Linked DNA regions of Macaca fascicularis. The protein of the gene in region 1 purifies or fractionates together with the protein of each later gene. This does not show direct contact. Links are inferred from orthologs where the notes say so. Each region holds a gene or a part of one and is shown on either strand. Other genes may lie near its edges.

What was found.
Region 2: the proteins of DUSP8 (region 1) and MAPK9 purify together in Homo sapiens (affinity purification with mass spectrometry; 4 studies listed by BioGRID and IntAct, with this or other methods). This does not show direct contact. The link is inferred for Macaca fascicularis from reciprocal best matches to the Homo sapiens genes DUSP8 and MAPK9.
Region 3: the proteins of DUSP8 (region 1) and MAPK8 purify together in Homo sapiens (affinity purification with mass spectrometry; 3 studies listed by BioGRID and IntAct, counting the BioPlex papers as one, with this or other methods). This does not show direct contact. The link is inferred for Macaca fascicularis from reciprocal best matches to the Homo sapiens genes DUSP8 and MAPK8.

The regions. Positions count from the first base shown.
Region 1 is NC_088388.1:1,476,483-1,480,538, reverse strand, and holds part of DUSP8 (dual specificity protein phosphatase 8), read left to right. Parts: intron 1-529; coding exon 530-696; intron 697-1,324; coding exon 1,325-1,484; intron 1,485-1,678; coding exon 1,679-1,802; intron 1,803-2,031; coding exon 2,032-3,100; 3' UTR 3,101-3,753; coding exon of another isoform or gene 3,754-3,792; 3' UTR 3,793-4,037; coding exon of another isoform or gene 4,038-4,056. UniProt on the Homo sapiens protein: Has phosphatase activity with synthetic phosphatase substrates and negatively regulates mitogen-activated protein kinase activity, presumably by catalysing their dephosphorylation.
Region 2 is NC_088380.1:187,193,924-187,198,532, reverse strand, and holds the start of MAPK9 (mitogen-activated protein kinase 9), read left to right. Parts: upstream 1-1,328; 5' UTR 1,329-1,555; intron 1,556-4,609. UniProt on the Homo sapiens protein: Serine/threonine-protein kinase involved in various processes such as cell proliferation, differentiation, migration, transformation and programmed cell death.
Region 3 is NC_088383.1:57,511,793-57,516,298, forward strand, and holds the start of MAPK8 (mitogen-activated protein kinase 8), read left to right. Parts: upstream 1-1,225; 5' UTR 1,226-1,369; intron 1,370-2,639; exon of another isoform or gene 2,640-2,833; intron 2,834-4,506. UniProt on the Homo sapiens protein: Serine/threonine-protein kinase involved in various processes such as cell proliferation, differentiation, migration, transformation and programmed cell death.

The DNA of each region.
Region 1 (4,056 bases):
TGGCACCTAAGCCCAGGCCTGGGGCTCCCAGCCAGCCGGAGGCAGGGAGGCATTGCATCAGCGCAGGGGAGGAGGAAGGCCCAGCCTGGCTCCCGGCCGTGGGTATGGGAGACGGGGGTGCTCATGAGGGCCTCTCCTCTGGGCTGTGTGACCCACACCCTCAGCAGGAGACTCCTGTGACCTCTGAGCCTGCCCCTGCCTGGGTCCAGCACCTGCCGCACTGGCCAGCCACCTCAACCCCACCTTTACCGGCATCATAGCAGCGTCCTCGGCTGGGTCAGGCCCTAATTAGCGTGAGGAGGAATGTGGGCGTAGGTGTGGGCTGTAAATGTGTGGCAGCACCCCCTCCCCCACCGCGGCCAGAGCAGGTGCGCTGCCAGAGGCTTGCTGGCTGGGCTGAGGCTCGGGTCTGAGCTGGGTGTGACTGATCCTCAGCAGTAGATGGGGTGCCCTAGGTGGACAGGGCACCCTAGGCAGACGGGGAGGCCTAGGTGTTCTCTCAACCCACCTGACGGGCCTCCTCCTACAGGGGGCTTCGCCACCTTCTCCTCCTGCTTCCCCGGCCTCTGTGAGGGCAAGCCTGCTGCCCTGCTACCCATGAGCCTCTCCCAGCCCTGCCTGCCTGTGCCCAGCGTGGGCCTGACCCGCATCCTGCCTCACCTCTACCTGGGCTCGCAGAAAGACGTCCTGAACAAGGTGTGTGTGCAGTGGACTTGGGGGGCGGTCAATGGGAAAGGGGCAGGAGCTCCAGAGGCAGCTTGGCAGCAGCGTGGGGGATGAGGGAGGAAAGGAGCTGAAGGCAGTGGATGAGCTGGGTGTGGGAGAAGCATGGGTGGGGGCCCAGGAGGACCACAGGTTCCCCACCCCTGCCCCCGGCAGGACCACAGCAGGGCTTGGGGGAGGGCCCAGCAGGGCTTGGGGGAGGAGCGGGAAGCTGGCATGCCAAGCTTCGGATGTCACTGGGCCCCTGTCCAACTCTGAAAGAATCCCGTGTTTTAAACATGGTGACGAGGGAAAAGGGTAAAAGCCACCACCCAGGCAACCATAAAATTCCTAGGAGCCCACCACCGGCCATGGGTGGGGCCTGCAGATGGAGGCCAGCCATGCCCCCACCCCCCGCACAGGCCCAGGGTGCCAGGGTGGACCAGAGAGGCCTCCTGGGCCCACCCCTGGATACACTGGGATCCGGGACAGGTTCCAAGGCTCCCAGGACCACCCCAGGATTCTGAAGGCCCTCCTGACGGCAGGGCAGGAAAAGCCTCCGCCTTCACTCCCGCCCCCAGCTTCTCCCACCCCTTTCCAACCCGTCCTCCCGCCCCTCCAGGATCTGATGACGCAGAATGGAATAAGCTACGTCCTCAATGCCAGCAACTCCTGCCCCAAGCCTGACTTCATCTGCGAGAGCCGCTTCATGAGGGTCCCCATCAATGACAACTACTGTGAAAAACTGCTGCCCTGGCTGGACAAGTCCATCGAGTTCATCGGTGAGCCTGTGGCGGGCGGAGGGCGGGGGCCTGGCTAGAGGAAGGCTGGAGCTGGGCGTGGCCACAGGCACAGGAGGGGTCCCGGGGAAGTAGCCCGAACTGTTGGCAGTCGGGCAGGTGGGGTCCCCTCCCTGGGCCAGGGAGAAGCTGTGCAGGCTTAGCCCTCACCTGGCCCCCATGGCCCACCTGCCCAGATAAAGCCAAGCTCTCCAGCTGCCAAGTCATCGTCCACTGTCTGGCCGGCATCTCCCGTTCTGCCACCATCGCCATCGCCTACATCATGAAGACCATGGGCATGTCCTCCGACGACGCCTACAGGTACCGCCTTCCCCAGTCACGCGCTTGTGACTCACGGAGTCACCTGCCTTCCCTCGGCTGCCCAGTTGCACCAGAATGGCCCCACCGTCCAGGACCCCTGGCAAGGGAGGAGGGCCTGAGACCAGCCTGGCGCACATGAGCTCATGGGTGCCCAGCGGGTGACGTCAGGTGGGCAGCCCGGCCCTGGCGGGCGCCTGGGACTAAGCCTCTCCCCCCCCACCCCACGCAGGTTCGTGAAGGACAGGCGCCCATCCATCTCGCCCAACTTCAACTTCCTGGGCCAGCTGCTGGAGTACGAGCGCAGCCTGAAGCTGCTGGCCGCCCTGCAGAGCGACGCGGGCACCCCCTCAGGGACGCCGGAGCCCCCGCCCAGCCCTGCCGCCGGGGCCCCGCTGCCACGGCTGCCACCACCTACCTCAGAGAGCGCTGCCACCGGGAATGCGGCTGCCAGGGAGGGCGGCCTGAGCACGGGCGGGGAGCCCCCCGCGCCCCCCACGCCCCCCACGCCCCCGGCCACCAGCGCGCTGCAACAGGGCCTGCGGGGCCTGCACCTCTCCTCGGACCGCCTGCAGGACACCAACCGCCTCAAGCGCTCCTTCTCGCTGGACATCAAGTCGGCCTACGCCCCCAGCAGGCGGCCCGACGGCCCCGGGCCCCCCGACCCCGGCGAGGCCCCGAAACTCTGCAAGCTGGACAGCCCATCGGGGACCGCGCTGGGCCTGCCCTCGCCCAGCCCGGACAGCCCCGACGCCGCACCCGAGGCGCGCCCACGGCCCCGCCGGCGACCCCGGCCCCCCGCCGGCTCCCCCGCACGCTCCCCCGCGCACAGCCTCGGCCTGAACTTTGGCGACGCGGCCCGGCAGACTCCGCGGCACGGCCTCTCGGCCCTGTCGGCGCCCGGGCTGCCCGGTCCTGGCCAGCCAGCCGGCCCCGGCGCCTGGGCACCGCCGCTCGACTCCCCGGGCACGCCGTCGCCCGACGGGCCCTGGTGCTTCAGCCCCGAGGGCGCGCAGGGGGCGGGCGGGGTGCTGTTTGCGCCCTTCGGCCGGGTGGGCGCCCCGGGACCGGGCGGCGGCAGCAGCGACCTGCGGCGGCGGGAGGCAGCGAGGGCTGAGCCCCGGGACGCGCGGACCGGCTGGCCGGACGAGCCGGCCCCGGAGACGCAGTTCAAGCGCCGCAGCTGCCAGATGGAGTTCGAGGAGGGCATGGTGGAGGGGCGTGCGCGCGGCGAGGAGCTGGCCGCCCTGGGCAAGCAGGCGAGCTTCTCGGGCAGCGTGGAGGTCATCGAGGTGTCCTGACCCCTCCGCTGCCCTCGGCTCCGCCGCCCGCAGCCGGGCCCGTTATAAATATATATTATATATAATGCAAAGAAAGGTAAATGGTTTTACTGGGATTTTTATCGAGAAGTAAATATTTCGATTTTTTATTTATTTAAGCTGTTCATTCTGGCAATGATTTGGCAACAGTGCGGGTGGTCCTCGAGCTCTATTTTTACTGTCTGGTATTTAAACTGAAACACACGTTTCTAAGCAATACGAGGCCACCTTCAGTCGCAAGCTGGGTGCCAGGCCTGGGGCCCCTCCCAGTTCCCCCGCCCCGGGAAACCCTGCTGACCTTTGCAAAGGCTGCCGAGCTCTCGTGCACTTTTTACATAAGAAAAAGGTGAAAAAAAGGAAAAAAAAAAAAAAAAAAAAAAACTTCTTTGCCACAAACTGAGCCGCAGAACCTCCCTTCTTCCCCCACCCACCTCTCCTGCTCTCTCCCTTCTCTGCGCCAGCCTAGGGCTCTGCACCAAAGCCATAGGTTGGGGGAGCAGGAGCTGGTGTGCCCCGGAGCGGTGCGGCCAACCCTCCACCAGCTCCAGGCGCCAAATCTTGGTGGCAGGGAGGGCACCCCGCTGCCTGTTGCCCCAGAGCTGTTCCCTGGCAGGGGAGGACAGGCATTAGGCCCCATGGTGCCGGGGTGTTCAGAGAGGCTGAGGAATAGAACAGTGTGTAGGGGCTTGGGGCAGCGGGTTCTGGAGTGTCAGATGAGGTGGAGGCCAGGGGAGGACAGGGTGTTAGTGCCCCCAACTCCTGCCAGAGCCCCAGTCCAGCCACAGAGTGGCTCAGCAAGGCCATTAAGAGGGCTCCCTTCTCCCTTGCCCATGCCCCTAGAGCTGCCTCTCAGGCAGGGCGGCACCACTGCAGGAGAGGAGCTTGGCCTCTGGGAGTCAGGCAGGAGGGGCCTGGCTAGCCAGTGCTGGCTCCACTGG
Region 2 (4,609 bases), on another chromosome or scaffold:
CTGTTCTACCCCCCACTCACCATTTGTCAACCACTGTTCCCACTCTTCCAGTCCCCAAAGCCCGGCTCTCCGCGGTTTTCCCCATGTGCATAGCCTCGTGCCGCGCTTCCTGCTTCACTTTTCAACGTAGATCTGGCAACATCCCAAGTCCCGGCCTCTCCCATCCTGTACGACCCCCAGGCCGCTGGTACCTGATCCAGCCTCAAAAGCAACTCAAGAGTCAACGGGTCCCAGTCCCTAGGGGGCCCTGAGCAAGGGACTCCTCGCCCCGCCCCCCACCCCTCTCAGAGACTTGACTGAGCACCTCCCTTTTTTTTTTTTCTGAGACAGAGTCTCACTCTGTCGCCCAGGTTGGAGTGCAATGGTGCAATCTCGGCTCACTGCAACCTCCGCCTCTCGGGTTTAAGTGATTCTCCTACCTCAGCCTCCCGAGTAGCTAGGATTACAGGCGCCCGCAAACACGCCCAGCTAATTGTTTCGTATTTTTAATAGGGACAGATTTCACCTGGTTAGCCAGGCTGGTCTCGAACTCCTGACCTCAGGTGATCCACCCGCCTCGACCTCCCAAAGTGCTGGGATTACAGGCGTGAGCCACCGCGCCCTGCCGCACCTCCCAATTTTTAAATGTTGTCAACTAAGTCACCCCGCCACCAAGCGCACTCCCCTCCTGCGTCACCGACCCATCGGGTAACCTGTCTACACACGGCCATCTCTTCGCACCCCCTCCCCTTCTCCAACCCGACTTCTGGCCTCACCCACACCCCCACAGACCCGTTCCTGCGGCGCCGCAGCGAGCAACCGAGTACAAGGCCAGCCCCGCCTCCCGGGCCCTAGCACGCCGGGCTCCCGGACGCCAGGCCGGCCTCTCCCCGCGATCGCCCCGGGCTCTCCCCGAAACGGGCGGCCTCCCGTGCTGCTCCAGGCCGCCTCGCCGCCACGAGCCTGCACCTGTAGGCGAGGCCCGGCTCCCCGCGGACCCCGCGGTGTGAGCCCCGCGCGCCTCCAGCCCGGTTCCCGGTCCTCCGGGCCACCCTCTCCCCCGAGCTGCGGCCCCCTCGCGCGGACAGCGGGCTCAGCTGGTGGGACGCGCAGTGCCTGCGTCTCCAGCTCACCGCGTGCGCGGCGCGCACCCGAGCGCCATGGCCGGTCGGCCGACGCCACTGAAAGGCCCGGGGGCGTCGAACCCACGGAACCCGGGCCCAGGACCTCGGGCGCCCGACCCGGCCCCCGGCCCCGCCCACACCACCTCCAGCGGCCCGCCCCCCAGGCGCCATTGGCCGCGCCTGCTCCGCTCTCCGCGCGCTGATTGGTCGGCCCGAGGGTCGGTCAGACCGGGCGCCGCGGCGGCGGCAGCGGCAGAGAAGGGAGCGGGACCGGAAGGGTCGCAGCGCCCCGGCGCCCCTCACACCCACTGCGGCGGCGGCGGCGGCGGGGCGGAGCGGAGCGGGGCGGGCCGGTGGCGGAGCCGGGGCCGCGGAGCCAGGAGTGACTAGCACGCAGCGCCGCCAGTCCGCCCGCCCGCCCTCTCCCCGTGGCGCGGCGGCGGGGAGGCGAGGTGAGCCCGGCGGGCGGGCTAGGCCTGCCGGCGGCTGCTCGGGCCGGGCCCGCGGGGAGGGGCGGCGGGGGAACCGCGCGGCCGGGGTTTCGGGGTGGGCCGGGGGCTGCGGGGCCCTGGCAGCCGCAGCCGTCGCCCCTGTGCTCGGGGATGCCGCAGGCGCCCCCTTCCGCCCGGCTGTCAGCGGCTCCGGGCTGCGGGCCTGCTCCCCGGCCTGGCCCGGCCGACCTGCCCGTGGGGTCTGCGGGCGCCATCCCTCGCGGAGGTGGGGCGAACAGCTGCACTCCTGCGCCGGGGGCCCAGGGGCCCGGGGTCGCGTCCCCGCGACCTTGACCAAGGCACTGACCCTCGCTCTGCCGCGGTTTTGCCTTCAGGAAGGTGGGGAAATGCCTCTTCTGGACAGGGTTGTTGTCAGGCTGTGTGAGTGTATGCAGACGCCTGGGCAGGACGCCGGTGAACATTTGTGGAAGATTGGGCAGGGTGCTGGCCCTTGCCGGTGTGAGTGGTGTAGGAACCCCCTCCTCATCCGCCCAGCCTCCCGCCTCCCCACGCACGCCTCCCTTGCCTTGTCATTGCACACTCAGTGTCCAGCAGTGCCGGAGGGGACCCAGCCCACATCCCTTACCACCACACCCCTCTCCCAGAAGACTGCTGCCCCAGTCCACTCATCTCGCCCGCCTTGAACATGCCAGCCCGCATTTGCCCCAGGACCTTTGTATTTGCTGTTTCCTCGTCTTTGGAGTTGTCCGTGATCTTGGCACAAGTAGCTCTTTCTGCTCCTTCCTCTGGCCAGATGTCTCGGTTTGGGTGAGGCCCTCCTCGACCACCCTCTTTCTTCCCTTAGTCATGCTATTTCATTATTTTAAAAATTTCCTTCCTAGCTCTTACCTGGTTTGAAACGTTTCTATTTATTTGCCTGTTTATTTTCTGTCTCCCCGACTAGGATGTAACTTTGTGAAAACAGGTAGCTGTCTGATTTGTCCACTGCTTTATCCCCAGTACTTAGAAAGCACACAGTAAGTATTCAGTAGTATCAGCTCAATGAATGAATGAATGATCAAAGAAATGGCTCAGTCTCCCTGTTGTCTCTGCTTTATCTGTTAATTTAGTGACTTCTGATTAACGTGTGAAACTTGTAAGCAGATGGAAGCTTGTTCTATTTTGTGAAACATTTTGGTGTCCTTGACCCCTTTAATTGCTAACCGTTGGAACAAGCTGTGATGTAAAATCTCACATTTTTATAATGGTTTAGCTCTAGCTTTCTTCCACACATGCAGGAGACATTTACTGAATTCTGCATTATCTAGGTCATGCTTTCTGCTAGGCCCTAGGGACACAAGGCAGATAGCAACAGGGTCCCTTTCCGAAGAGAGCCCAGGAGCCCAGTAGAGAAGGCAGGCATGCAGACACTTAGTTCCAGGACTGTGCAACCCTTGCTGTCGTGGAGGGGCTATGCCATGGAAATGTGGAGGAGGTGACAGGTGATGCTGGGGGGCCTTGAGGGTGATGAGAAATTTGCTAGGCAGGGAGAGGCAGAGGTATGAAGGAGCAGGGCCAGGTAAGGACCATAGCCCACTGTGGAGTTGAGAATCAGTCTGGAGGGCCAGGTGTAAGGGCACAGAGTCGTGGGGACTCTGAAGAACTGGAACCTTACCTAGCAGTTTTCTAGAAGAAGGTGGAATTTGACTAGTGCCATGGCTCACGCCTGTAATCTCAGACACTTTGGGAGGCTGATGTGGGAGGATCACTTCAGGCCAGGAGTTCAAGACCAGCCTGGGCAACAGTGAGATCCCTGTCTCTACAAAAAATTTTTGAAAATTAGCTAGGTGTGGTGGCATCCACCTGTAGTCCTAGCTACTTGGGAGTCTGAGGTGGAAGGATCCCATGAGCCCAGGATTTTGAGCCTGCAGTGAGCTATGATCGCACCACTGTGCTCCAGCCTGGGTGACAGAGCAAGACCCTGTCTCTAAAACAGAAGGCAGCACTCCACATTTGTTCCGATTTTTAAATGTTGGCAATAGCTAATTAATTTTTTTTTTTTTTTTTTAAATGCTGTGAGCCAAGCCAAATACAGATTCATTCAGCTTGGTTGCAGATTGTCATCCTCCAGGAGTGGCTGTGTGGGAGGGAGGAGCTGTGAGGAGAGCAGGAAAGGTAGCCTAAGGCCAGGAGAGTCAGGCCCTGTTTGCCCAGGTGCCAGCCCAGATACTCATTTGATTGTAACTGGAGCCCTGTGGAAACGGAAGCTCAGGAGTTTGAGTAGTCTGCTTCTTAGCAAGCAGCTGGTGAGTGGAATCCGAACCCAGATCTCTCCCTAGATAAGGATTCTTTCCTGAGTCCCTCAGCTCTGAGTATTCTCTTTTGGCTTTTAACTTCTTCTGGAAGAATGACCACCAATCTATTTAATGTTTTCCTTGATTTAACTTTTAAATTTTTCTTCAAAAGGATCCTGCAGAGTTAAAAACAATACTATTTTTGCATAGACTTCTCTGGACAGCTTTGATTTTCCTGGTAATTTAATTTTCAGGGTGCCAGAACATTAATTTGTTCACAGACTAAAATCTGTTTATTTGGTTCCCTGAATAAACATTAGAGGGGATTCTTGAATGTGTCTAAGATAAAATATTTTTAATTTTCTGGATAAAGAAAAGGACCAGACAAACCAGTTAATAGTGACTAGACCAGTTTTCGTGAGACATAAAACAGAGACCAGATTTTTTTTCTTCTTAAGACTATTGATTTGCCAATAGGGCAACTATTTTTGGTCTACATACATACAGTAGTTATACCTGACACTTGGTTAGGAAGGTGCCATTTTTCCATAATTTTCCTTCAGAATAATTAATTCCTGATATTTTGTACTTGATTGTATGATCCGGTTTCAACATCATTTTTTAAATTTTAACTTTTATTATGGGAATTTTCAAACATATACAAACTAAACAGAATAGCGTTCTGCTTTAACAGTTATTAACTCCTGACCAATCTTGTTTCATCTCTAATGTTATCCTCTTACACACTTACCACCCATAATTATTTTCAAGGAATTCCTAA
Region 3 (4,506 bases), on another chromosome or scaffold:
GAATAAAGGATGGAAGGAAGGAAATTAAGAAGGTTGAGAGGGAGGAAAAGAGGAAATGGGAAGAGAATGAATGAATAATCACCTGTATGTTCGCTTTTAGAATCACCAGAAAGAGGCCAGCCCCACATGTAATAGGAAAGTAGTCTACCTGAAATCATTCATTCATTCAACAAATATTTATATATTCTTTATTAAAGTAACTTACTTGTTTCCGATTGTGAACATAACTATTCCTCTTGGAAAACATGAGAAAATACCCAAAGTATAAAAGAGAACCAAGTCACCCTTTATTCCATAGTCCAATGACGAACCATTGCTAACATAATTTGGTGTATTTCTTTCCAGGTTTTTTCTATGTGTATATATAGTAACTAAGTGGGATCGTTCTATATATAAGACTTGTTTCTTGCTTCTTTCTCTTAATGATATATTGTTAACATTTTCCTGTGTTGTTAAGAATTCCTTGAACACATGGCGTTTAAATTGCTAAAATGTATTCTACTGCATGGATGTAGGTAACTTAAACGCCTTTCCACCTGTTGTTGGATATTTAAAGGCTTGTCAATTTATCGCTTCTGTAACATTTACACGTTTTGTGGGGCCTCAGAGGTAAACCAGGTAATGCAAGGAATCTGGGAAGAGGTGGATTTGCAAGGAATCTCGGAGGAAGTGGATTTTGGAAAAACTGGAGGAAGCTTTACCGGGGCAGCTGAAGAGAACACTTATCTCTCTGTAGGTTGCTGGGATCCGGACAGGTGTCCTCAGCATGGAACGTACTGTCGGTCAAGGTAACCAGCTCTTCATCACTCAGGTGTGTACCAGGAAGGGGTGTCTGTTCGCTGCGCAAGTTTGGCCTAAGCTCACCTGCCCTTCAAACCCTGTGGTGACGAGGCCCGAAGCCTTAAGCTCCGACCTGGCTACCGCCGCCAACCAGATGCAGTCCCCTGGGGCCACGCGCCGCCACGTGCCACCACAGGGCCCGCCCCTCCCGCTCCTGGCCACGCCCCTCACCCACTGCCCTCGGAGGCTCTCTCCGCGGCTCCGCCTCCAGGCGACCTCCGCAAGTTCTCTCAGCCCCGTGGAGTAGCCCCGCCCCCGGCCAGCGGCCCCGCCCCCGCAATCCGGGCCCCGGGGCTGCCCCGCCCCGCAGGCCACTCGGGAGGCGCGGGGGCGGCGCCCTGCGCGATGACGTGGGCGGGCGTGCGCGGTGACGGCCCGCGTCCCTGTTACTCAGCGGAGCGGCCGAGGCTGGACGACGCGGCTAGGATCGCGGAGCGGCGAGCAGACCTGGGTAACGGCCGCGGCGACCGCTCGGACCGCCCCTGTCCCCGCTGGCGGGCTTCCCTGTCGCCGTTCGCTGCGCTGCCGGGTGAGTGCGGCGGATGCCGCAGGGCCTGGGCGGCAGGCGGCCCCGTCGTGTTTATGTTATTGTGCCGCTGCCGCCGCCTTCTCCTCAGCCGTAACCCCCTCCCGGGAGTGGGGGCGGGAGCGCGCGGCGGGCGGGGGCGGCGCGGGAACAATAGCGGCGCAGAGGCGGGGGCCGGCCAAGGGGGCGTGGGGCTGCGGGACCTGGGCGCGCTCCGCTACCCGCCAGCCCGCCCGCCGCGGCGAGCCCCGCCCGCCTGTCCTCTCGCGTCCTCTTCGCGCGGGTCCTGCCTCCGCGGCGGGAGAAGAAAATAGCGGGGGGGTGGGTGGCAAGTTCTGAAACACTTCGGCAAGGGTCGGACAGAGGCGTCTCCGCGGCCCGCCGCACCCTGGCTGCCTCCGGGGCGGCGAGGAGCCGGGAAGAGGGCTTCTACCAGCGGGTCCCCAAGCCTGCCCCGCGCCCATGGGGACCGTATTTTGCTTCTCGGTGGTTTCTTTGTGCTCAGGTTCTGGGCGAAGGCAGGCAGCAGCGCTGAAAAGGGCCGGGATGGCCTGCAGCTCTGGGCTGCGAGGCACAGCCCAGGCCCGTGGTTCGGGTGGGAGGTGTCCATCCAGCTTGGCCCGAGCTTCGGTGGTCAGCGCACATTTCTCTTGAGGGTCACTCGGTGGTGACCTTTTGACTTTTTCACCCCACCCTCCCATCTCTTTGTCTCACATTTGTGTTCCGGATTCAGAGATGGTAGAACCAAGTCCATTTTAAAGTACCCTGATGAACACTTTCCGTTTTTATTTCTGAAAGTTCCCCGCCTGGTCTTTATTGCGAATTTAATAACATGTTAACTACATGGCATTGTCCAGTGATTACCGTTTTTACCTCTGAAATTCAGCGATCTGTCCAGTAGAATTCTGGTCCGTCAGTCCATTGTGTTTTGAGATAGGCATCCAGCAAATACCTCTTTGGCAATTAGAACATGTTTTTTCATTCATTCATTCATTCAACAACTGTTCGGTACCGTACCCAGATGAAGAGGTTTGGTTTGAAGGTAAAGGAAGGTATCCTTTCATGGAAGAGGATGCTTTGACTGAAGTATAATAGATGGACCTTTAAATGAGAGAATTACATAAGAGATGTCTGTTAAGGAAGGTATGGTTATGTTCTGGGTCATTTTTTAAGCAGTATATCTGGAAGTTCAAGTGTAATGTTAGGAAGTAGAATTAGATTTGGTCTAAATATACAACAGCTTTTGTTTATTTCTAAATTTTATTTTTTCCAGTCTTGCAGCCTTACAGTCATTTGTAATGGTTACCTCAGATTCCCCTGCTGTGGTTAACGTTAAACCTAGGAGGTCAGATGCTCTAAGTGAACATGTTTAGTGCTGTGCCTGACAAAAGCAAGCAATCAAAATGGGACTTCCTTGAGGGCAGGCCTGTCTTGCATCTGTTTCTCCACCACCTAGCCTGGAATATAGTAAGTGTTCAATAAAAGTCGGATTGATGAAAAGCTCTTTGTAATTGATAATATTTAAATTCAAGCCTTAAAAAAAACTGTAATGTTCTCCATAAAGTTTTGGAAGCTTCATGCAACTGTCGCTTCAGATGGCTAAATGATCAGTTCATGTACATTATCTGTTATGATGACATGGGCTTTTGAATCACGTGTAGGTCATTCACTGTCCTAAAATAAAATCTTGTCTAAATGTTTTTTTAATATGATTAATAAACTAAAGTAGGTTGTGGGGTGTGTGTTTCTGTGTATGTACTAGTTTATGTGTGTCTGTGTGTGTATGTACGTAATGCACACACAGGCACACATAAACTGGTATTTCAGTAGGGGTCTAAAATGATTGCATTTATAATTTTGTGAATATTATTTGAAAGGTTTTTGGTGACTCATTTTGTGAAAAATTGAGGACAAAGCCACATAAATGTTTTATTAGAAATATTTCTAATATTTTGGAAATGTTTACTTGAAATGTTTGGTTTTAAGTTCTAACTTGTGTTAACACATTGGTACAAAATATGATCCTAAAACTCAAAATAATTCATTTATCCAAGTTAAAGCTCTTTTCCACTCCCTGAACAGTTTAGCGTTTGTTTTGGATTTGAAAGAATACGAAAAGAGTGAACTAATTAATGAGCTTCTTATTATTTGGTGTAAAGTGGAAATGAAGAAATAAGAAAATGATACTTTTTTAAGATGAGGGATGAAAACCTTTGAGATACCAACGTTTTATTGCTTTACCTAGTTAAGGTATGTCAGCTTCTAGTAGGGGTTACTGACAATCCTTTGGCAGTAGCTCACAGTCAGCCTATGTAAAGAACCAGAGTTGTGTTATTTTGTTTTCCAAATTATTGGTTTTTAAAAATAGCTTTATTGAAATTTAATTGACATGAAATTCACCTGTTAGAGTGTATATATTTCAGTGGTTTTTAGTATATTCACAATGTTGTGCATTGATCACCATCACCAATTCCAGAACATTGTCATCACCCCAAGAAGAAACACCATATTCATTAGCAGTCACTCTGAATTTCACTTCAAATTATGCTTTAAAGTAAGAGATATAGCATCGATTCTGTTAGTAAATATATTCCTTTAATAAGTATGAAAAGGGCTCCTTTTAAGTGTCCTGTCCTGGCAGAATAGGAAACTATATCCTTCACACTCCTTTAGATCGGGGGAAATGCCATTTGGAAAGGAAGTTAGTGCAAGAATACATTGTACACAAATTAATGTGGTTAGAATCTTAAGTATTTGCTACATGCCTGATATTATCGAAGTGACCTTGGGAGGATGAGATGTTCAGTGAAACAACTTGAAGTAATTTGTTGTTAAATGACTAGTCCCCAACTATCCTAGTGCTAAGAGGTTGTTGAATAGGAGCCTGCTTCTTGTTGGTCAGCTTTGCCAGCGGGTTGAATTTTGACATATTTGAGTCATCTACATGGTTGAGATGCTTTGTTGCACGAGTAGAAATACAAAATAATGTCTGACATTAGGATTCCAGCGCTCTAGAGGTCTCTGGTCAAGTCAATGGTATGGGTAGTAGCCTTTCTGATTCACGTAGTCCAAGGAAGTCATTATAACCGCATAGCTTTATATATGAATCATTTGCCTATGTCAGTGAACTGTGATGCTGA